6 linked regions of the Canis lupus familiaris genome follow. The protein of the gene in region 1 interacts with the protein of each later gene in a biochemical or structural test. Links are inferred from orthologs where the notes say so. Each region holds a gene or a part of one and is shown in the gene's direction. Other genes may lie near its edges. The genes, in order: RAD51, RPA1, FBH1, RAD54B, EVL and RAD52.

Region 1 (4,004 bases):
TTTTTTTTAATTTTATTTATGATAAGCACACAGTGAGAGAGAGAGAGGGGCAGAGACATAGACAGAGGGAGAAGCAGGCTCCATACACCGGGAGCCCGATGTGGGATTCGATCCCAGGTCTCCAGGATCGCGCACCTGGGCCAAAGGCAGGCGCCAAACCGCTGCGCCACCCAGGGATCCCCTCAAAAACTTTCAATGAGGAGTGCCTCAGTGGCTCAGCGTGGAGCCCCTGCCTTTGGCTCCGTTCATGATCTGAGGGTCTGGGATGAGTCCCACATTGGGCTCCCCAGGGAGCCTGCTTCTTCCTCTGCTTCTCCCTCTGCCTCTATGGGTGTCTCTCATGAATAAACAAAATCTTTAAAAAAAAATAAGATTTTTAATGATTTCCTCATTACTTAAAGAATAAAGACTGAAGCTCCACACATGGCCTTAAGCTTCTTCATAACCTGAATGAAATGTTAATTTTCCAGTATCAGCGTCTCTAGGACACTTTTCCTCCTTCATCAGACAATTCTATCGCTTGACCACGTTATTTCCATACCCATAGTGCTCTAAGTCTCCCATCTCCGTTTCTTTGCCCAGGAAACCCCATTAACGCTTTAAAACCGGAGTCACACACAGGTCCAACTTCCCAGTAAACAAGGTTTACTTTCTCAAAATCAGTGTCTCCTGCCCTCGGGAGTCTTCCAAATCTCAAGTACCAAGACTTGACTAATATTTCAGCCATTTTTCTCCCCTTCGTTAGCTGTTTCCAGTTCCATCTCAGCTCTACCACCTCCAGGGGCCTGGAAGGAAAACCCCAGGCTCCGGGAATTTGACGAAATCGGAAGCTCAGACTAAACGTCCAGGTTTAGAAACTAAAGAGGCAAATCGAGAGCAGCTCTCTAGAGCCAGACCTTCCCCCAGCAGGGGTGAGGCGCTAAAGTGGTGTGCGACCCTGTGCCTGCTGGGAGATGGAGTCTCCGACCCACCCCACTACCTCTTGGGAGTTGTAGTCCTTGGTCTGGTAAAAGAGAAGGAAGCGGCGACTCCCAAATTGTGAATTAGTTTTTAGGGGTAAAGGGAAGAGGCAAATGCCTCACATGAGGCAAGACCAAGTTCCTTGGACCCAACTAGGGTTCGCGAGCAGCCGCAGAGCGGGCTAGACCTCCGGGCCGAGGGGGCGGGGAGACGTTACGTTGACGCTGGCGTGACCCAGCCGGAGAATTTGGCGGGATCTCCAAACACTCCCCGGAGGGAGCTCTGCGGTTTGAGACCCAGCCTGAGGAGACTGACGCGCCCTTAGGGGCGTCGTTGGGAGCTGAAGCTCGCTTGGGTTGTGTGCGGAAGGCGGCAAAAAGGGAGTAGAAAATTTGGCAGCAAGGGAGGGAGTCCAGAGCCCGTCCAGAGTCGTGCGCGGACCGGACCCGCGGACAGAAGTCGGAGCGCGCAGCCCGGCAGTGAGGAGCGCTGTGGACCGAGGTGAGCGTGTGAGGCGTAGACTCGGCCCCTCCTGCCTCCCGGTGCGTCCCCGCAGTAGCCGAACCGGGCGGAGCCCGTGCCGCCGGCAGCCGGCTTATGGGCCCCTCTGCGCCAAGTGAGAAACCGGAGTTGGCGGGGCGGAGCAGGGTCATGCCCGGGCCCAACCCACCGTCGGGGCTCGTTGTGGCAAAAACTGAAGTGGTCCCCAGGCTCCAGAGCTAGAAGGAACCTCAGAGGCCTTCATTTTCAACACCCGGTTTGGGGGTGGGGGGGTGGGGGCGGCGGGAAAGCCGAGATCCAGAGAGGTGTTGTGATTTAACGTCACAGCTGTTTCTGTCGGGGCCAGGGTTTCCGGATTTCTGGTTAATCCTCTTTCCATTACACCCTGCTTTGCTTACGGAGTACCAGCTTCCAATTTCCTAAAAGGCGTTTTCATTAGCTAATTCAGGCCGTTCGTGTGATGATGCCTGGGGAATGATCTGTAGTGAAGTGGTTTCTTTTGACTGCTAAAGTGAAGTGTAATATGCGTATGGAAGAATATACAAATCAGAAGTGTATAGTATACGCCTCTGATTTCAAAAAGAATATACCTGTGCAGTCATTACTCAGGTCAATAAATAGAACGTTGTCAGCACCCCAACATCCCCTGTTCTCTCCAAAGGTAACCTCTGTATTGACTTCTGACACCAAAGACTAAATTTGCCTGTGTTTGAGTTTTGTGTAACTGATATTATCTATCTTTAAAAGGTTTTGTTTATTCATTTATTTATGAGAGACGCAGAGGGAGAAGCAGGCTCTTCAGGGAGCCTGCTGCGAGACTCGATCCCAGAAGCTCGGGATCATGACCTGAGCGACAGCAGATGCTCAACCGCTGAGCCACCCAGTTTCCCCATATTATGTATATTTTTGTGTTTGGTTTTGCTCAACATTCTGTCTGTAGATTCGTACTTATTTTTGCATATAGTAATAGTTCTTTTTAGTTTCTGTATTGAATTCCTTATTCATTCTGCCCATGCCCATGGTGGACATTTGGGTTGTTTCTAGTTTCTGAGTTTTTAAATGAGAAAATCTGCAGAGAACATTCCTGCGTATGTTTTGGTACAAACGTGTATGGTTTTCAGTTGGTTAGTAATACAGCGTTGAAATTCCTGGGTCATAGCATTTGTCTATATTCAACTTCCACATTTAATGCCAGTTTTCTTTTTTTAAAGATTTTATTTATTTATTCATGAAAGAGAGTGAAGGGCAGAGACACAGGCAGAGGGAGAAGCAGGCTCCATGCAGGAAGCCCGGTGTGGCATTGGATCCCGACACTCCGCATCCATGCCCTGGGCCAAAGACAGGTGCTAAACCGCTGAGCCACCCAGGCATCCCTACTGCCAGTTTTCTGCTACCAATTTACATTTACACCAGCAGTGTATGAGTGTTTAGTTTTTTCACATGCTTGCCAACACTTGATATTGTCAATCTTTTAAAATTTTATCTGTTTTGGTGGCATATAGTAATACTTCGTGGTTTTAATTTTGATTTTCCTGATAATTAGTCAGGTTGAGCATTGGTTCATCGTTTTTGGCCCATTTGGACATCTTCTATCCTGAAGTACTTGTTCCAATCTCTTGTCTGTTTTTCTATTGAGTTGCCTTTCTCCCTTCCCTTCCCTCTTTCCTTCCCTCTTTCCTTCCCTCTCTCCTTCCCTCTCTCCTTTCCTCTCCTTTCCTTTCCTTTTTTTAAGATTTTATTTATTCATTCATGAGAGAGAGGGAGAGGGAGAAGCAGAAGCAGGCTCCATGCAGGGAGTCCGATGTGGGACTCGATCCTGGGACTGCGGGATCACACCCTGAGCCAAAGGCAGATGCTCAACCGCTGAGCCATCCAAGTGTCCCTATTGGGTTGCCTTTCTTGCTGATTTGAAGTTCTTTATATATTTTAATTATCAGCCCTTAGTTGTATATATGGTAAATATTTTGTCTCCCACCTGTAGTTTGACTTCATTTTCTTAATAGTGTCTTTTGATGGATAGAAGTTTTAAGTTTAAATGTCCGATTTTTCAGTCTTTTTTTTCGTTGTTGCTTTAAGAAAGTTTTATCCCAAAGTCATGAAAACATTCACCTATATTCCAAAAGCTTTGTTTTACCTCTTATATTTAGATCTGTAATCGAATTGGAAACAGATGTTTCTTCTGTATGTGCAGTGTTTTATTTTGTTTTTGTTCTTTTTCTTATTCTGTAAGGCTCTCCCATCAACCTAGCACTTTTTATTGAAAAAAAAAATCCTTTTTCCATTCTCTGTAATTCCATCTTCTTCATAAATTATGAAGGGAGGTGTTTAAATTTTTTTTTTTTTTTAAGATTTTATTTATTCTGGGCAGCCCTGGTGGCTCAGCGGTTTAGTGCCACCTTCAGCCCAGGGCTTGATCCTGTAGACCCTGGATCGAGTCCCACGTCGGGCTGCTTGCATGGAGCCTGCTTCTCCCTCTGCCTGTGTCTCTGCTTCTCTCTCTCTCTCATTCTCTCATTAAAAAAAAAAAAAAAATCTTAAAAAAA
Region 2 (3,791 bases), on another chromosome or scaffold:
CATGGGGCTCAAACCTACAATCTCGAGATCAAGAGTTGCATGCTTGGGATGCCTAGGTGGCTCAACAGTTTAGCATCTGCCTTCAGCTCCGCATAATCTCCAGATCTGGGAATCAAGTCCTGCATCGGGCTCCCTACAAGGGGCCTGCTTCTTCCTCTGCCTGTGTCTCTGCATCTATCTCTGTGTCTCTCATGAATAAATAAAATATATATTTTTAAAAAGAAAAAGTGTTGCATGATCTGACTGAGCCAGCCAGGTGCCCCTTCAAAAGTCTTAATGGAGGGGGGCACCTTGGTGGCTTAGTGGTTGAGCATCTGCCTTTGGCTCAGGTTATGATCCCGGAGTCCGCTGGAGTCCGGGGGATCAAATCCCGCATCAGGCTCCCCACAGGGAGCCTCTTCTCCTCTGCCTATGTCTCTGCCTGTCTCTCAGAATAAATAAAAATCTTTTTATTTTTTTTAAATGTTTTATTTATTATTTAATTTTTATTTATTTGTGATAGTCACACAGAGAGAGAGAGAGGCAGAGACACAGGCAGAGGGAAAAGCAGGCTCCATGCACCGGGAACCCGACGTGGGATTCGATCCCAGGTCCCCAGGATCGCGCCCTGGGCCAAAGGCAGGCGCCAAACTGCTGCGCCACCCAGGGATCCCAATAAAAATCTTTTTAAAAAAGAATCTTAGTGGATATTTTCAAATGGTCTGGTAGCTTCCATGCCTAAAGTTCTACATTTGTTTTTGCAGAACGAGCAAGCATTTGAGGAAGTTTTCCAGAATGCCAACTTCCGATCTTTCACATTCAGGATCAGGGTGAAACTAGAGACCTACAACGTAAGTGGGGTCTGCTGGGTTGCAGAAGGGTTAGCAGTGGGAAGCTACTATTTGTCACTCACAGCAACAGTACAGTGTTAGCTGTCACTTAATTGCTTACAGTGTGCTTACCGCCCTGCATTTATTACTCATTGAATCTTCCCAGCACTGAGGAAACGAACCTAGAGAGGTCAAGTATTTTGTTTAGTGTCAAGCATCTAGAGGGAAATGCTGCATGGTTCTTCGGTTACAACCTGGGGGTTTTGTTGGTGTAGTGACAAAGAATGGTCAGATGTTTGGTGGACTCCTGTGAGGTTTAGGCCCTAGGGTTCATATACAAAACAAAGACCGAACAAAGTTAAAATAACCTTAAAACTTATTCAAGTTGCCTATAGCATCATATAATTGTATAGTCCTACAGTAACTGCATTTATTGAGCACTTACTGTCTGCCAGTTACTATTCTATGCCCTTTACATCTACTATCTCACTTGATCCTGGCAGTAACCCATATGGAGGAATGACTGTTAGCCCCATTTTACCACTGAAAACATGGAGGCATGTAGAGAATAAGTACTTTGCATATGCCAGCAAATGGCAGAACTAAGATTCCAGCCCCCAGCTTCAGAGATTTGCTCTTTTCCATTCTTAGAAATGGCACTTTGTCGTAATTACTGAGCACATATACATGACAGTGCGTGAACCCCTGAATTAGACTGTGCACTTTTTCTGGGCATCACCTCATCCTGCCTCTAAAATAAAGGCACTGTTCAGTCCTGATGAATGAGCAAAGAGGGAGAGTTCTGAAAACCTCTCTGCTTGTTTTAGGGTCTCCTCATTCTGTTTTATCATTACACTTTAACCTTAGTTCCTGCCAGGTTTGTTTGTTTCTGTAGACCTTGAATGAGGTAGTGTCAAGTCAAGTGTCTGTGCTAGAGTGTCATGTTGAGGTGGGAGCAGGGGACAGCTCGAAAGGTCATGCAGTCCTCTCATGATGTGGACAGGGAAGGTGAGGTGCAGAGGTGGTCTCCCACAGAGCTGGGATGGCACCCAGACCAAGTCTTCCTCCTCTACTTTTGTTTTCAGAATTAGCTGTGTGGCTTTTAGGCAAGTCACTTATCTTCTCTGGGCTCCTATTTCCCCCCTCTGCAAAGAAAATAAACCTGCTAAGGCCCATCCCATTTGGATTTGAGGTTTCTGAGACCTGGGAGCATGAGGGAAGGACAAAAAGGGGACTCTGCTGAATGAAGAGAGGCTTCTGTCCTCTCTCCCAGCTCCAGAAGTTCTGAACTTGGCTTTCACTCATGATTTTTTTCTGTATTGGAATTACTAAACACTAAATCCAGCATGTCTTTGTGTTTTCTCTCGCTGAGATCATTGAAACCTCTAAAGCAAAGGGGGTTAGCACCACTGCTCCATGCCACAGGCTTTCCTCCATTCACAAACTGCTTTTCTCTTCTCAAAGGATGAGTCTCGAATTAAGGCCACTGTGATGGACGTGAAGCCCGTGGACTACAGAGAATATGGTAGAAGGCTGATCATGAACATCAGGAGAAACGCACTAATGTGAGAAGACCAGAGCTGATGGGGCAGAAGTTTGAAAAAACAGAGCTGAAATGAAACCGATTCTTTCCCACTCCTGTGGGACATTTCCACGTTAGCTACACAGTGGAGCAGAGGGCCTCTCCACAGGGGACAAAGCGCTTTCCTCCCATCAGTGCAGCTTGGAGCCCACTGGTACCTGTTGACACAGGCAAAGAGAAATGTGCTCAGGCGACTGTCGGGTAAACTGTCAGACCTGGCAGGTCAGCTGGTGGATAGTGTAGTGCCATTCTCTCCCTCTGTCTTCAGGCTTTTGTCAGTTTTACTAAGATTTCATTATCTTCAATCAGAAATTATGTCACAAGTAATTGACCCTAACTTTGCAGACGGTGAAATAAATTATGTAACTAGCTTCTCCAGTGATGACACCCTTGAGACCTGGGTTCCTTCTCAGGAGGGAGAGCCCAAAATTGGTCGTGCAGAACCTGTACTTCAGTAAGTGTGTCTTTCTAGAATTCAAAGTTTCGCTCTTTCTAGAGGTGCCACATAGTTGTAAATACTTGGATGGCAATAGGGTAGAATTATTAATCAAAAAACTTATCTTTTATATCTGAAGAATATCCCTCCTTCAGGGTTTAATAGACTAAGTCAGATGGGTCTGATATTAATCAAAATTGTCTCGTCTGAGGAAGGCTGATAAGCATTGACTTGCTGTCCCACAGGGACATCCGGGCAACTACAAAGCATTGTTTTAGTTTTCGTTTCAATTAATGTTGCATTTTGGCTGGTGAATGCACATTTTTTTCTACCTGTACATATTTCTTGCATTTATATGTTTCATTTCTTGATTGAAGCTATGTTAAATAGAAGGGATTTTGAAGGAAGGAGCCCTTTGTTTCCTCTGCTTTGTTTAAATAAACAGAATGTTCTCTGTGTGTGAATCCTACTTTCTACTTTCTTTGAATGCAAAGGGTTCTTGTAACTGGGAAGCAATTAATTAGCCTTCATAATAAATGTTCACTTGGGGGAGATGTTAACTCATTACAGACTCAAAGATTAGTCCAAGTCATAGAGATCATTCATCCTAATGTTTGCAACCCTCAAATGCATCTTTAAAAGAACAAAAACACTAAAAACAAAAAGCCATTGTGACCAAGAATGCTGATGATCTGGCACTTTGGGATTTTATTGATGTTTACACAGCAGTCTAACACCAACCAGGCTTTGAAATGTGTACAGACAGTGAGCTAGTAAGAAAACAGTAATTATGCTACTAGGCTTTTAAGTCAGCAAGAGCATGCTTGCCCTGTGTGTTCCTAATCATATTAATTATCTTTCTGGTTGCTGCGACCCACCACTTGGCATTTGCTGCACATCTCTCCCCAAGCATCCAGGCAATGTTGCAGTCAGCCTGCAGTGGGAGGACCTGGTTTTTAATCCA
Region 3 (3,500 bases), on another chromosome or scaffold:
GTTTACAGTCCCTCACACGCACGTCTTCTATCTCACACAGGTAAGAGCTCTCTCTGCTTCCGAGTCCCCAGAACTGTAGAAGCAAGCTTTGTGGTCTCCCCCGCACCCTCGTTTTTCTGTGGTTAGTGGGGGCCAGGCGCCGTGCAAGGCTGTCTAGTCGGCACACAGCATGTAGTGGATCCTCGCTTCTAAGCAGTGGTGCCCTGTGGTTGTCAGGGGGTCTGCAAAGTCAGAACTGTTTTTACAACGGCATGTGCCATTGTCACTGTGTTCACATTTGCACCGCTGATGCCTTCCCGTGAATCAAGGTGGTGGCACCAAACGGTGCCGGCTGTCACAGTGTTCTTCTTGTAGCGCACTCAGGGTACAACGAACAAAAGAGGTTCAACTCCAGAACATTCCGATGTTCCAGCAGACATGATGAACTGCTAGCCCTTGGGTGTGTCTCTAGTATTCTGTGGGATAAGGGGCCGACGGAAGTGTGTTGGCTGTCTGACGAAGAGCACTTTTGTGATTGAGTTGTGAGCTCAACTGGCTGCTTTTGTGTGTATTTAATGTTGGTACTCGAGAGAACAGCTGACAGACTTGGGTACTTGGCATTTTCTCAAAAATGAAGGAAGTGAGCTGTGACTTCCAGGAAAACAACTGACAAATGTTTGTTGCCAAAGATAAAATTCTTGCTTTCAAGTGAAATAGAAATTTGGAAAACTCGTGTATGCGTGACACCTCGTGGCATCCCTGGTTGTCTGAGAAAGCCGTAACGACCCTCCCCTTGCCCATACCTTTCCGCATGAGGCTGCTGGGGTAGCCCCGTAAACTATTTAGAATTCTTCTACAAAGAAGATTTTTGTCTTCTCTCCCACTTACTTCTTTATTCGATCATTTATTTATATCAGTGTGGACTCGTGGATATTTCATTTTATTTTTTGGGTCATGGCTCCCTCAGAATGGTTCTGTAGCAACAAAGTGCTATTTGTTGAAAGGCTCATGTTTTCTTTAGTATTGTCAATGTTCACCAGAGCGCGTAGCAGTTTATTACTTTAAGTCCTTAGTACATGGCAAAGGGCTGTAAGTACCATGAGATTGGAGACGAGGGTGTCTTTCCAGCTGCAGTGATCAAGGACGTGGGTGTGGGGCCACGTTTTGAAGGGTAGAGAACAACTGGCCATGTGCCAAGGCAGGGGGCATCCAGGGAAGGCTCAGAGAGTGACGATACTTGGGGCTGGCGTGTGGGGCAGTGGTTTTAAATTAACGGTGAGGGAGGCTCAGAGGCGAGATGAGAAACCCTCCTGCCCTCCCTCCATCTTTTGAATAATTGACACTCTCATTTGATTTGATTTGGAAGGAAGGGTAGATTTGCTTAAAAGCTAAGTTTTCCACTGGTCTTGGGGAATGAGAGGAGAAGAGGCTGTTCGGGCCGTGAGGGATGTTCAGAGTGCATGTACTGCCGTTTTCCTCACGTGCTGCTCTTCCTTTTTTGTAGCAAGGGTGTGGCCTGATGAAAGTATGTGGGCAAGAGTCATCTGGCAAGAGGGCGGGAGAGACCGAGTGGGTGAGGCATGGAGTTTGGGCTGCTGAGCTGAGATGGTAGCAGTGGTGAGAAAAAGAGCATAGACCCTCTGGTGGGAGGATCGCCCAGATCTGGATGTGGGGGTAAAGGGTAAAAGAAGAGAGGTAACTGGAGGGTTTCAGGGTGAAAGCTGCAATTTCTGAAAGCTTAGAACTCAAGTCAGCGATGGTCTGATTGGCAAGATTCTTCGATTCCTTGTGAGCGGGTTTACAGTGGGGAATTTGCAAATCCACTTTCCAGATAGGGTGAGTCAGGAATCAACAAGCAGGGTCTTTGCGGGGACAGAAACAGGCGAACCTACTTCAGGGAGGGCTTGTTGACTCCTTTTGTTCCGTCATTTTCTCACAGAGTTTCAGATTTGGCGTGGAAATAGCGTACGTGGGAGCTACCATCTTGGATGTCTGCAAGAGAGTGAGGAAAAAGACTTTGGTTGGAGGAAACCACCAGAGTAAGGCCTTCAGTTACTCTTCATTTATTTGTTACAAAAGTTAGTTTTCCTCTTTACTTGGATTTGCCACAGAGTTTGTGCTCTCTCCCAACAGGTGGCATTAGAGGTGACGCCAAGGGGCAGGTGGCCCTGTTGTCCCGGACCAATGCCAATGTGTTTGATGAGGCTGTGCGGGTGACGGAAGGAGAAGTCCCCGCGAGGATACATCTGATTGGGGTAAGAGTAAATCTCTCCCGACTCCTCCCTGCACAGACACAAACCCAGCAGCCAATGAAAGCATTCAGCTTCATTAGGATTATTACACAAGCAAGCATTTAGGGTTTGGGGCACCATCTGCACCATGACTGAGGTCTTTCCCCCTAGCTGTTCCGATATGTTAGCATTCTTATGAGGAACCAGCAAGGACTGAGGATCCTTTTCTCTGTTCTTTAAAACACTGACACCCTTCTCATTTTTGGCTCTGCAAATGAGGCTGCCGGCCGGCTACCTGCGAGTGTTGTGGTGTGTGGTGTTCATTAGTATAAGGACAAGGGAGCTGCCAACACAGCTGGGAGGCGCTAGTGGGCTCCAGCGTAGAGGGTGTGGACACCTGGGTTCTAGATCTGATTCTGTCACTAACTTTGTGTGGCTTGTGGCAAGTCACCACTTCGGTGTGCCTCATTCTCTCCATCTCTGAGACAAGATTAATGCCTTTACCTGGTTCCCGGGGAAGTTAGGATTAAGTGACACATGTGTGACATTTCTGACTCTTCAAAGCAAAGTTACATGACTAAGAGATGTTCACTCTGTTTATGAAAAACAGTGTTTTTGAGGGCTTCCTGTGTGTGGGCACTCGGTATATACAGTCAGTGAGTCATAATCAAAAGATGTTCTGAATTTTCTCTTTTTTTTAATTGATAAAGATTATCCAGCCAAATTATGGAAGCTTTGGAAATTAAAAGGAAAAAAAAAACCTCACGCTCAATCTCAGTATTTCAGATAACAATTTTCCCTTTTGCTGTTCATGTCTGTGTCTTTATAGACACACATTTCTACATAATTGGAATTATAATGTACCTAAAAATGTGTTCTTTTTTTTACTCCACATGTAAGCATCTTTTCTTTCATGTTTCTACGTGAACGACTACAGTATTTCATCTAGTGGTTATAGCGTAGTTTAAGCATTTTTTGTTATTGTTAGAAAATAGCACTCTTGGAGTGTGGCCCACGTGGGGCATGGTAGACAGTAAGTGGTTGTGGTCCCTCTGTCACACCCACGTGTCGCCTGAAGCATGTGGCAGCACTCTCGATCACATCTGCTCTCCAACTACGATATGTGCTGGCTTATTTCAGTCTCTGTTTGATGTCAGCGGTTTTTATGTCTCTTCCCCAAATGATGACAGGTCCTTGGAGGGTGGTGCCTCAGTCACGGGTTTCTTCTGCGCGGGGGTCCTGGACAGTGCTTGGCATGTGCTTTTAGGTAGAAGGGGCTATGCTGTGATA
Region 4 (3,500 bases), on another chromosome or scaffold:
AACACATTCAGGACATTTACATTCGCCTACAATTGGGCAAAATCATCTAACACCCTATTTTATAATAAAGTGTTGACTGTGTCATGTAATTTATTGAATAGTGAGAGTGAAAAACAGAATGGTTGTATGGGTACAGAGTGGTTGTGAGTGTATCAATTGCTTACCCTCATGATTTCATGGTAGACAGGGTAGACAGGCATTAATGCTAGCTAGACCTGACATTTGAATTTCTCAGTTCATAAAATACTAACAGGAGTATGATCAAATACTCTTTAATACTTACTAGTACCACTTGATTTTCTTGTGCATTTACTTTTGTTCAAATGACACTACTCCTTAAAGTCATCTCTAATAATGTGGTTTTTATTTTTATTTTATTTTATTTTTTTATTGTAGTTCACCCAGCCCCTAAAGAAATAACAGTGTCTAAGGGACAAGAAGAGGAAGAACCTGATAGCCTAGTTAAATATTTCAGTGTTGTTTGGTGTAAAGCTTCGAAGAAAAAACACAAAAAGTGGGAAGGTGATGCTGTTCTCATTGTAAAAGGAAAGTCATTTACATTAAAGGATTTGGAAGGCAAAGACATTGGAAGAGGTATTGTGATATTATGTAATGTTTATGATTTGGACTACTATTAGTATATATCTGAGGTTATGTAATTAAAATGTGGGATTTTATAAGGGTTAGATTAGGATGCTCTTTAATTGACTTGCATGTCAATTAAAATTATCTCATGATAATCTGACAGTCTATGTACACTAGCTCAGTTAAGGAAATCCCATCTCATGGATTCATTTTCTCCAAAATGAAATAGTTATCTGCAGTCATTTATATATATTTTTGAGATTAAGCAGTTTGTCTTACTGTACTTCTACTCCCCCCTCCCCCTTGCTAAATGATTAAAGTCAGAAAAATGTTGATATCAGGTGTGGAATATTATCTAATTTCAATGATACCCAACAAAATTTTGAAAAAAAAAAAAAGGGAAATGGCTAGGCATGATCCAGATTAATACATCTAAATTTGAGGTTATCGTTATTTCTATTTTAACATGTTACCAGGATGATTGTACTAATACAAGTTAGCTCACAAATTCAGAATGCTTAACACCAACCATGTTTTTTGGCATTGTCTCTTATTGTTCAATTTGAATATGGCCCATTACTATAAAATCTGTTCTATACATTCATTCATTTAATAATATCATACTTTATAGTTTTTAGTAACTGTTAAGTGCCAAGCATTACGCTAGGAGTAAACATTCAAAAAATGTATATAAATTATGGTTTAGTGGGGGATAGGGCAATGTAATTGATAATTAGGAAGCAATAAAATAATTGTTTCATTGAGAATTTTACTCCATGCAGTAGGAGATAGAAGGACCATTTAGATCTGCCTAGGAGGCTGGGGAAAGCTTCATAGGAATTATTGTTTAAGGTAGTGTTTGAAAAATAAATAGTTCTATAGGGTATGAGAAAGGGACATACATAGGAGGGAATAGTATATACAAAGGCACAAAAGTGGGAAAGAGTTAAAATTACTAGTTCAGTGTTTCAGGAGTGTAGTATGTGAAGGTCAGTGCCAGAGTGATGAGTTGAGGCTGAACTGAATGATCTGCAACTGAATTTTCTTTTAAAGATTTTATTTATTTATTCATGAGAGACAGAGAGAGGCAGAGACACAGGCAGAGGGAGAAGTGGGCTCCCTGCGGGGATCCCGATGGGGGACTTGACTAGATCCTGGGACCCTGGGGTTATGACCTGAGCTGAAGGCACACGCTCAACCACTGAGCCACCCAGATGCCCCTTAATTTTGTTATAAAAATATTGAGGGGCGCCTGGGTGGCTCAGTTGGTTAAGCCTCCAGCTTTTGGTTTTGGCTCAGGTCACAACCTTAGTGTGGGATTGAGCCCCGCATCAGGCGCACTGGGCAAGCCTGCTTTAAGATTCTCTGTCTCCCTCTGCCCCTTCCCACCTTCCTCCCTCTCTCTCTCTCTCTCTCTCTCTCTCTCTCTCTCTCTCTCTCCCTCTCTCTCTCTCTCGCTTTCTCTCAAAAAAAAAAAAAAAAGTTGCATGCTCTACCAACTGATCAAGCTAGCACTCCTAGCTATATTTTCAATAATTAAAAAAGGTCTTGCTTTCTCTAAAGCTTGGCTAATTTTCATAGCTTTATTATTTATTACTTCTGATTTTTCTGTGTTTTTTAAACAAAATGATAAATTATGTTTTCATCCTGGGTAATGGGTTATACAAGGCTATTTGCCTTCAAAGCACAGTTTTCATTCTGTGGGGTTATAGGAAGGTGACTGTCGTATCACTAAGTTATCTTAGAGTGTCAGTAAATTAAATTCACATTCTCTCTTCTCATTTTAAAGGCATGGCATATAAATTGAAAGAGCTTGAAAAGATTGAAGAGGGCCACAGAGTGATGATTGGTGGAAAAGAAGTAGAAATCATGGGTATAATTTCTCCGGATGATTTCAGCAGTGGCCGATGTTTTCAGCTTGGAATAGGAAGTCCTGCTATCTCAAGTTCTTCTCAAGCTGCCAAGAAGTGTTTCTCTAACCCCTTCAAAAGTGTTTGTAAACCAAGTTCAAAGGAAAATAGATTGGGTGGTTTCCAAGATTGTAAACCACGCCATGACCCACATGCACCAAGTAAGATGTAAAACATAATTTGAATATTCTGTTTTTACTGTCAAAACATATTTGGCCTGTGAATTTAAAGTTTAAGATTTGTTTAAAGTTTTCAGATGAAAGTATGTATTATTCTTCAGGCATACAACTGACATAAGGAATAATGTTGAAGTTGTATAATATAGTTGGGGAATCATTTCATAAATAAATGTATAATTCTAAGAATATAGTAATAATGTCACATTTGTATTAAAGGAAAAATATACCAATTAGAGATTGTATACACACAAACATACATGTATAAGATTTTGAATAATATCTGACATCTTAGCAAGCAGAAATATTAATTCATGAGTCAAGATTATGTTTATATTTCTCTTTTGACAACTGTATGTCTTGATCACATGCATTAGTGTATTAAAATGTTGAATGGTGATACTTTTTTTTTTTTAAAGATTTATTTATTTTCAGGTAAAGAATTTAAATTATACCCATGAGAATCCAATTTAATGAGTTAATTTTTTTTAAAGATTTATTTATTTTCAAGGTAAAGAATTTAAATTAAACCCATGAGAATTCAATTTAATGAGTTAATTTTCACATTAATGAATCTAATTTAAAAAATCACATTAAAAAATAACACCTCTCCTGTTTTTTTTTTTTTTTTTTTCGATTTGATTTGTTTGCCTGACAGGGATTTCTTCAATGCCTTTTTTTGCATTGAGGGCAGAGGTAAACTGTCATCAGAGATCTTATTTGGTGAGGAGGCAGACAAGTAAATTTGAATTATAAGGCAGTAGATATCAAAGTGGGTGGGGTATAGTGTAGGCTGCTTTCAGATTAGTAAAATAAAAAGTACATAGAG
Region 5 (3,500 bases), on another chromosome or scaffold:
ACAAGGTCTTAGAGCAGGAGGGGCCCCCTCCAGGAAGATGACTCAACCCAACCGCCTCACTGTACAGATGAGCAGTGAGGGCCAGTGAGGTGGCATTAGCTGGTCTCCCTGACACCCGAAAGCCCTGAGCCTCCACACTGATCCAGAGTAGATGCTGACGTGGCCACCTGTGCCGACAGCCCAAGGGCATCAGGCTGGCCAGACCATAACCCCCCACCCAGCCCTCTCATTTCCCACACGGAGACAAGGAGGGCATTGCATCTGGGGTTCAGGTTCCTGGCCTCAGGCCAGGGCTCTGAGGAGGATTACGGACCTGCCACACTCCTGTCTCCCTGTGAAACGCCACCTGTGGCACGTATAACAGGGATCACCCGTGAGTCTTGCTCATTGTGGTGCTCAAAGAAAGTCTACCAGGCGATGCTTCCAAAGTTATGCGTTAGAGGAAAAACAGTCCCAGCCCTGCTCAGAAGCCCCGTGTGAGCCCCAGAATGTGAGCCCCAGGGTACAGGGATGGAGTTAGGACAGTTCCTGGAGGCTGCAGGGTGGGAAGAAGCCACTGTGCTTGGTCAGTCGTTCAACAAACATTTGTTCAGCATCTGCTCCACACAGGGCCTGTGCTCCCGAACAAGGTAGGAGAGGCAGAGGGGAACCCCGCTAGCCCCCCTCAGCAGAGGGAGGCTCTGGCCAGTTGTTGCACCAGCCTCTGGTCCTGCCACTCTGCTGGTGTGGCTGCCTGCCTGCCCCGTGAGACTGCCCCTGTGTCCTCTTCTCCTGAGAGCTGCCACCATGGATTCTTGGTGAATGACTCCATGAACACTGCACACCCCAGTGAATGGTTCTGTTTCCCAGGTTAGGAGGTGACATGATTTGCCCAAGGCCCTATGCCTGTGGGCCCAGCATCTGCCCTGGAGTGTGGCTTTGGGGACACTCTCCTCACACCCATTGGGTGGCTTCCCTGCTTCCTCTAGGGATTTTCTCCTGCCTCTACGCTCATCCTGCAAAGTCTAGGAATTCAATTCAGTCCAAAAATCTCTTGAAGTAAAATGAAACATTAATTTAACACCACTTAAAAGAGAAAATGGAAAAAGAAAGTAGCTTTGAGGGCCGGGGCAGGAAGGGGCCGGCTGCAGGGTGCAGGGGAGACATGGTGGGCACGTCTGGGCAGCAGGTGTATACGTGGCGCTCAGGCTGACCTGAGAGCATCCCGGCTAGGGCTCCCTCTGTACCCCCCCAGCCCTTTGCTGGAGTCATGACTCGACTCTGGGAGTCATGATTGAGAGGCTCCCCCATCAAGATGAAACCCAGCTGTGGTGAGAGGACTCAGAACCAGGCCACAAGTCAAGGTCAACCAGGTCGAGGGAATGGGAGCTGTGTCCTGAGTGGGGAGACTGGGAACGAGGGGCCAGGTTTCAGCTCCACCTGCAGCAGCCCTTCCTGATGGGGTAGCCCTTCACCCTCAGCACTGGGGGGCCTCCTGCCTGGGATTGTGGGGGGAACGTGGCCACCGAGAGGTCTCCCAGCTCTGAGGCTCCCTGTCCACGGTATGAATTGACAGAGACTGGCCGGAAGCCCTGGGAGCGGAGCAACTCGGTGGAGAAGCCTGTGTCCTCGCTGCTGTCCAGGTGAGCTGCCCCACGAGGCGGCACTGCGAGTCCGGCGGGGCCACGGCGGGCGGCGGGCCAATTCACATGTCTGTTTCATTCCGTGCCGTAGAACCCCGTCTGTGGCCAAGAGCCCCGAAGCTAAGAGCCCCCTTCAGGCGCAGCCTCACTCTAGGTACCGAACATCCCCGTCTCGGGGGCCTCCTCTGTCCCCTGCCCGTGACTAACACTCCCAAACCCGCCCCCTGTCCTGTCACCTAACAGTTTGCTCTGGGAAAGGGTGGGCCTGTTCCCTCAGACCTGGGGAAGGCAGGGCTGGAGGGACGCAGATGTGAGGGGCTGTGCACGCCTACTCTGGCTGTCCCCTCCCAGAGGGAGAGACTGGGGCCTGGGGAGGGCAGTGAGGCGAGGCTGACATCGGACTCCCATGACAGTGCTCCGGGCTCACTGTGACATCGGGCAAGCCGGTGGCCCCTCCCGGCCTCCCCTCCTCGATCCCGTAAAGAGGTCTGTGAGCCCTGCGTCTTGTGACAGCGATTAGTGGGCAGCAGCTGGACACAGTCCCACAGCTCAACTGATCCCGGGACCGGCCGGCACCCTTCCTCCTTCCCCTCCCTCCTCTGCCCACAGCACACAGCCGTCTTCCCCCAGGGAGACCATATTTCCCAGACCAAAAGCTGGTGTGCATAGCAGGATGGAATGTTCAAAGCTGAGGTGTCCCCAAAAGTGAGAGGCCCCATAGTCACCGGAGCCGAGCGCAGCCCAAAGCTGCAGGTCTCTGGAACCCGTACTAGGAAGGGTCGCCACTGCCCGGCACAGACTGCAGGGGAGCCGCTCTCAGAGCAGTAGCATCGGAGCCGGCCGTGCAGAGTGGAGCGAGCCTGTCGGGGAGGGCCCGGGCCCGGCTCCGGCCGGAGCGCTGAGGACAGACACGGCCCTCAGGAGTGAGGTCTCGGGTCAGCCAGGTTCTGAGCTGGGTCCTGCAGGTCCCTGCTGCAAGGAGCCCATTTTCTGTTGGGAAGGCCCATGCACGAGGCGGCCGTGTGTTTGAGAGGTGCTGTGTGGAACACAGAGGGTCGCATGGCAGACCATGCTGGGGACCGAGGTGCTCTAGCACAGGGGCTGGGACAGGCCTCTCAGAGGTGGCATTTGAGTTGACCTGCATGAGGAGGAGCCTGCCCTACAAAGAGCGTGGGGACAGTCTTCCGAGCTGGAGATGGTAAGTGCTGAGGCCCTGTGACCAACCCGGCAGTTCACAGAACAGGAAGCTGGCCAGCGTGGCTAGCAGGTGGCAGCAGGTGGGGAGGGGCCGGCAGGGGTCACGTGGCTGGAGGGCTGGGCTGCATTCTGTATGTGCTCACCGTGGTGGACCAGCACTCTCTCTGGCTGTGAGGGGGCCGGAGCCAAAGGAGGGGCCCCCGGGAGGAGGGAGGAGGTGAGGTGGCCAGGGGTGCGCTTGTGGCCCCCCAGCACTTCCTGCAGGTGGAGCATGGTGGGCTGCCAAGTGTTCCCACTTGGGATGGGGCTCTCCACCTCTGAGACCAGTGTGCTCTCCAGTTCCACGGAGGGCTCCGAAGGGGGCAGGCGGCCACAGTCTGCCTCGGGTGACCCCGGGGGAGCTGTCAGGTGTGCATGTGGGAGAACCAGAGCCCCGACAGGTGAAACAGTTTGTCCAGGTGGCCCCAGAAATGGCTGCTGGAACAGGCCCCGACCCCACAGACGGACATGTGGGCCGGGGGTCTCAGGCTGCACCTCCTTCCCCACCAGGATCCAAAGCTATTTAGTGTCCTTCAGAACCACACTGGCCTCTCTTCAGTTCAGCCAGGAGAGGAGCAGGAGCATGTTCTTCTTGGATTTCTTTTTTTTTTTTTTCTTAAGGTTTAATTTATTGAGAGAGAG
Region 6 (3,500 bases), on another chromosome or scaffold:
GGGCAACCATTGACTTCTGGAGCTCACCTCTAGTTTCTGAGGTCCACAAGGTCTAGGGTAGGACTTGAGGATTTGCATTTCTGTTTTTTTTTTTTTTTTAAGATTTTATTTATTTATTCATAAGAGACAGGCAGAGAGAGGAGCAATCGTCATGCAAGGAGCCTAATGTGGGACTTGATCCTGGGACTCTGGGATCACACCCTGAGGCAAAGGCAGACACTCAACCACTGAGCCACCCAGGGGTCCTGAGGATTTGCATTTCTAATAAGCTCCCAGGTGATGCTGATGCTGCAAGAGACCTCACTGGTCTAATGCTTTATTCCTGAATGTTAGGGTCACCGTATTGCCTTCTCTTGCTTTTTATTTTTTTTAAAGATTTTATTTATTTATTTGAGAGAGAGACAGCATAAGGGGGAAAGGGAGAAGCAGAGGGAGAGGGAGAAGCAGACTCCTTGCTAAAGGGGAGCCTCTCCAGGGGCTGATGTGGGACTTGATCCCAGGACCTTAGGATCATGACCTGAAGGCAGATGCTAAACCAACTAAGCCACCCAGGTGCCCCTTCTCTTGCTCTTTAATTTTCCTGTCTATGAGTCTTCTACCAGCTAGCTTGTTAGGTCCTGGAAAGCAGATCAGTTATTGTGGCTTTTAGTTTTTTTGTTGTTTATGTATATTTTATTTATTTGAGAGAGAGAGCATGAGTGAGCATGAATTGGGGGGAGGGGTAGAAGGAGAGGGAGAAGCAGACTCTGTATTGAGCAGGGAGCCAGCCAGGGGACTCTATCCTAGCATCCTGAGATCATGACCTGAGCTAAAGACAGACACTTCACTGACTGAGCCACCCAGGTGCCCCTGGCTTATACTTCTTTTATGACCTCACTGAGGCCAAGGTCATGTTGCTCATATGATAGGGAGTAATCAGTTGGTTGGTTACTCTCCCTTGGTGTGTTTTGTAATTTTGACTTTTCCAATTATAAACATTACAGTTATACATTCTGATTATAAAAATCACCTTTACAATTGCCCTTACAATACAATTGCCCTAGCAAAATTTTTATTGTGTATTTAAGAAGGCTATATACCCAGCATGAGGCTTGAACTCATGACCCTGAGATCAGGCTTCCCATGCTCTACTGACTCAGCCAGCCAGGTGCCCCAACTCTAGAAAAATTTTAACAAAGATGGAAGTGGATTCTAAAGGATCTTCAGTGATTGCTAAGCACTGAGGAACTTAGTCTGATTGGGGCAGTGCTTATAAATAAAGCGTTAAGTAAATAAAAAACTTGTAGAATACTGCATATGGATGCTTTAATCTGATTTTAAGTGGAGGTTCTTGTTTTTTACCTTTACCATTCTTTGAGATCTTTTTTAATCTTCTGTTTTTATTAGAGGTTACTCAAAATCAACATGTTTGGGGCTGAGGAAGCAGTTCTTGGAGGCCGTGGCAGCCATCCTTCTGCTGGTGGCAACTCTGTATTATGCTTTGGACAGGTAACTGTGTTTATCATACCTGGAAAGAATGAGGTTAAGTGAAAAGGTAGGAGAATGTAATTTGTAGAGCATTGTCATAGATGTAGAAGCTATTTATTGTCAGTGGTTTTCCTGTTAGGTGCAGTATTTTGTGAGTCTGATGAACTCTCAGGCCATTTTGGAACTTTGACATCAAAAGACAAATAGTACTGGAGATTACATTTAGATTTATATTTTGTTTATTTTTTTGGCTAGATTACATATTCATATGGTATAACACTCAAAATGAAACGTAGACTGTGAATGAAAAATCTCATTTATTTCCCCATCACTCCTGTTCACATTTCACCCAGTTCGTTTTATTGGAGGCATCCAAAGATTCCCATGTCATATTCTTTGTGGAGATAGTCTGTGCTTATCAAAGAGATTCTTGCTTTGTCCACTCAAATTCTGTCTTTACCAGAGATCTGTTGATGTAGATTTATTTCATTTAAATAGGGAAGGAAAAAATTACTAAGGGGACAAAAATCAAAACTAGTAGCAGTATATTTAGCTACATATACAGGGTGGGAAATTGTTGAAGCAGAGAAGAGGTATACAACTTTGGAGAGGACGGTGGGTCTCCCCTACTCCCTCGCAGGCATAAATGTCACACACAGACTCTGAAGCAGGAAGTTTCAGTTTACCAGTTGTGGCTTGAGGAAGTTTTGTAAGGATGGTAGTGACACCTAAGGCGATGCCTGTCTACATGTGGCCCTGTGACCCCTGGGAGTCCCCAAGACCTTTTCTGAGTCCATGAGGTCAAGAAGAGTTCCATAATAATACTAAAGTACTTCTTGCCTTTTCCTTTTCCTTTTCACACGAGTGAAGAATGGGACTTGCCAGGCCATGCGCAGCCTGTTGTGATACTGCTAGGATGGCTGATGGAAGAAGGTGTGCCTTAAAGGTTTCTCAGTTTCAATTCCTAACATTGGTAGTTATAACCCACATAAACAAAAGCTCTTAGGGTCCTCAATACTTTTTGAGAGTGTAAAAGGGTCTGGAGACCAAAAAATTGGAGATTTGCTGATGTAGGAATGGGAGAAATGTCAATTTAATTTTTCCTTTCTGAATTGCAGTATCAGTACACAGCAGAAGAGTACCAGGCCATCCAGAATGCTCTGAGGCAGAGGCTGGGCCCAGAATACATCAGTAGCCGCATGTCTGGAGGAGGCCAGAGGGTAGGAGAATTGATATGCTTGAAAAGTGGGTGCTCCTAATAGCTGGCTACTCAGATGATCTCAACAGCTCCCTCTCTGGGTCCTCATGGATTCAGGTCTCTTGCTCACTGTTGCTAGATGTTCCCTCGTGTCTTTGGGAGAGGATGGGTTCCAGCCAGCATTGTCATTTGAAGTGACCCAAGTCTTGTCTTGAGACTTCCATGCCTGCCTTCTTGGGATTTTTATACCATCTTTTAAAAATGTTTCTTTTGCCTTTTGCTTCTAAATTTAACTTCTGTGTATATTTTTGGTCTTCTGTAATGTATATCAACCTGAGACTTGTACTTTTTTGGAAACTGCTAAGTGAGTGGATATCTTTCCCCTCTGAGTCTAGTCCCTCCCCTGAGACAAACATTAGTTCTAACTGGTTCCTTCTGGAAGATCTTTGAAATAAGTTCACTGAGAATTTCCCTGGAATGTTAAAGGGCAGTTTTGCCAAAAAAACAAAACAAAACAAAAAAACCCAAAAAACAAAACAAAAACAAAAAACTGGTAAGGAATAAATTAAGTGAATTTTGATTCTTATTTAAATATGGCAAGGAATTTTAACAAGCTTTTTTTTTTTTTCTTCCCCTTAACTTTCTTGTTCCAGGTATGTTACATCGAGGGTCACAGGGTAATTAATTTGGCCAATGAAATGTTTGGTTATAATGGCTGGGCACACTCTATCACACAGCAGAATGTGGGTAAGTATATTTCCTGGCAATGGTGACTTCTTCATTTCCCTTACTTTTATACTAATTTCTGATGAGAGTATTTTGTGGGTGAGGATGT

The links.
Region 2: the proteins of RAD51 (region 1) and RPA1 form a complex in vitro, tested with the Homo sapiens proteins (2 studies listed by BioGRID). The link is inferred for Canis lupus familiaris from reciprocal best matches to the Homo sapiens genes RAD51 and RPA1.
Region 3: the proteins of RAD51 (region 1) and FBH1 form a complex in vitro, tested with the Homo sapiens proteins (2 studies listed by BioGRID, with this or other methods). The link is inferred for Canis lupus familiaris from reciprocal best matches to the Homo sapiens genes RAD51 and FBH1.
Region 4: the proteins of RAD51 (region 1) and RAD54B form a complex in vitro, tested with the Homo sapiens proteins (2 studies listed by BioGRID). The link is inferred for Canis lupus familiaris from reciprocal best matches to the Homo sapiens genes RAD51 and RAD54B.
Region 5: the proteins of RAD51 (region 1) and EVL form a complex in vitro, tested with the Homo sapiens proteins (2 studies listed by BioGRID and IntAct). The link is inferred for Canis lupus familiaris from reciprocal best matches to the Homo sapiens genes RAD51 and EVL.
Region 6: the proteins of RAD51 (region 1) and RAD52 form a complex in vitro, tested with the Homo sapiens proteins (6 studies listed by BioGRID). The link is inferred for Canis lupus familiaris from reciprocal best matches to the Homo sapiens genes RAD51 and RAD52.

What each region holds. Positions count from the first base shown.
Region 1 is NC_049251.1:8,127,047-8,131,050, forward strand, and holds the start of RAD51 (DNA repair protein RAD51 homolog 1), read left to right. Parts: upstream 1-1,204; 5' UTR 1,205-1,461; intron 1,462-4,004.
Region 2 is NC_049230.1:45,977,608-45,981,398, forward strand, and holds the end of RPA1 (replication protein A 70 kDa DNA-binding subunit), read left to right. Parts: intron 1-743; coding exon 744-830; intron 831-2,273; coding exon 2,274-2,378; 3' UTR 2,379-3,291; downstream 3,292-3,791. UniProt on the Homo sapiens protein: As part of the heterotrimeric replication protein A complex (RPA/RP-A), binds and stabilizes single-stranded DNA intermediates that form during DNA replication or upon DNA stress.
Region 3 is NC_049223.1:29,097,280-29,100,779, reverse strand, and holds part of FBH1 (F-box DNA helicase 1), read left to right. Parts: coding exon 1-40; intron 41-1,918; coding exon 1,919-2,018; intron 2,019-2,112; coding exon 2,113-2,234; intron 2,235-3,500. UniProt on the Homo sapiens protein: 3'-5' DNA helicase and substrate-recognition component of the SCF(FBH1) E3 ubiquitin ligase complex that plays a key role in response to stalled/damaged replication forks.
Region 4 is NC_049250.1:39,795,963-39,799,462, reverse strand, and holds part of RAD54B (DNA repair and recombination protein RAD54B), read left to right. Parts: intron 1-396; coding exon 397-594; intron 595-2,374; coding exon 2,375-2,656; intron 2,657-3,500. UniProt on the Homo sapiens protein: Involved in DNA repair and mitotic recombination. May play an active role in recombination processes in concert with other members of the RAD52 epistasis group.
Region 5 is NC_049229.1:68,864,021-68,867,520, forward strand, and holds part of EVL (ena/VASP-like protein), read left to right. Parts: intron 1-1,555; coding exon 1,556-1,622; intron 1,623-1,713; coding exon 1,714-1,776; intron 1,777-3,500. UniProt on the Homo sapiens protein: Ena/VASP proteins are actin-associated proteins involved in a range of processes dependent on cytoskeleton remodeling and cell polarity such as axon guidance and lamellipodial and filopodial dynamics in migrating cells.
Region 6 is NC_049248.1:3,104,268-3,107,767, forward strand, and holds part of RAD52 (DNA repair protein RAD52 homolog), read left to right. Parts: intron 1-1,386; 5' UTR 1,387-1,404; coding exon 1,405-1,488; intron 1,489-2,585; coding exon 2,586-2,687; intron 2,688-3,318; coding exon 3,319-3,412; intron 3,413-3,500. UniProt on the Homo sapiens protein: Involved in double-stranded break repair. Plays a central role in genetic recombination and DNA repair by promoting the annealing of complementary single-stranded DNA and by stimulation of the RAD51 recombinase.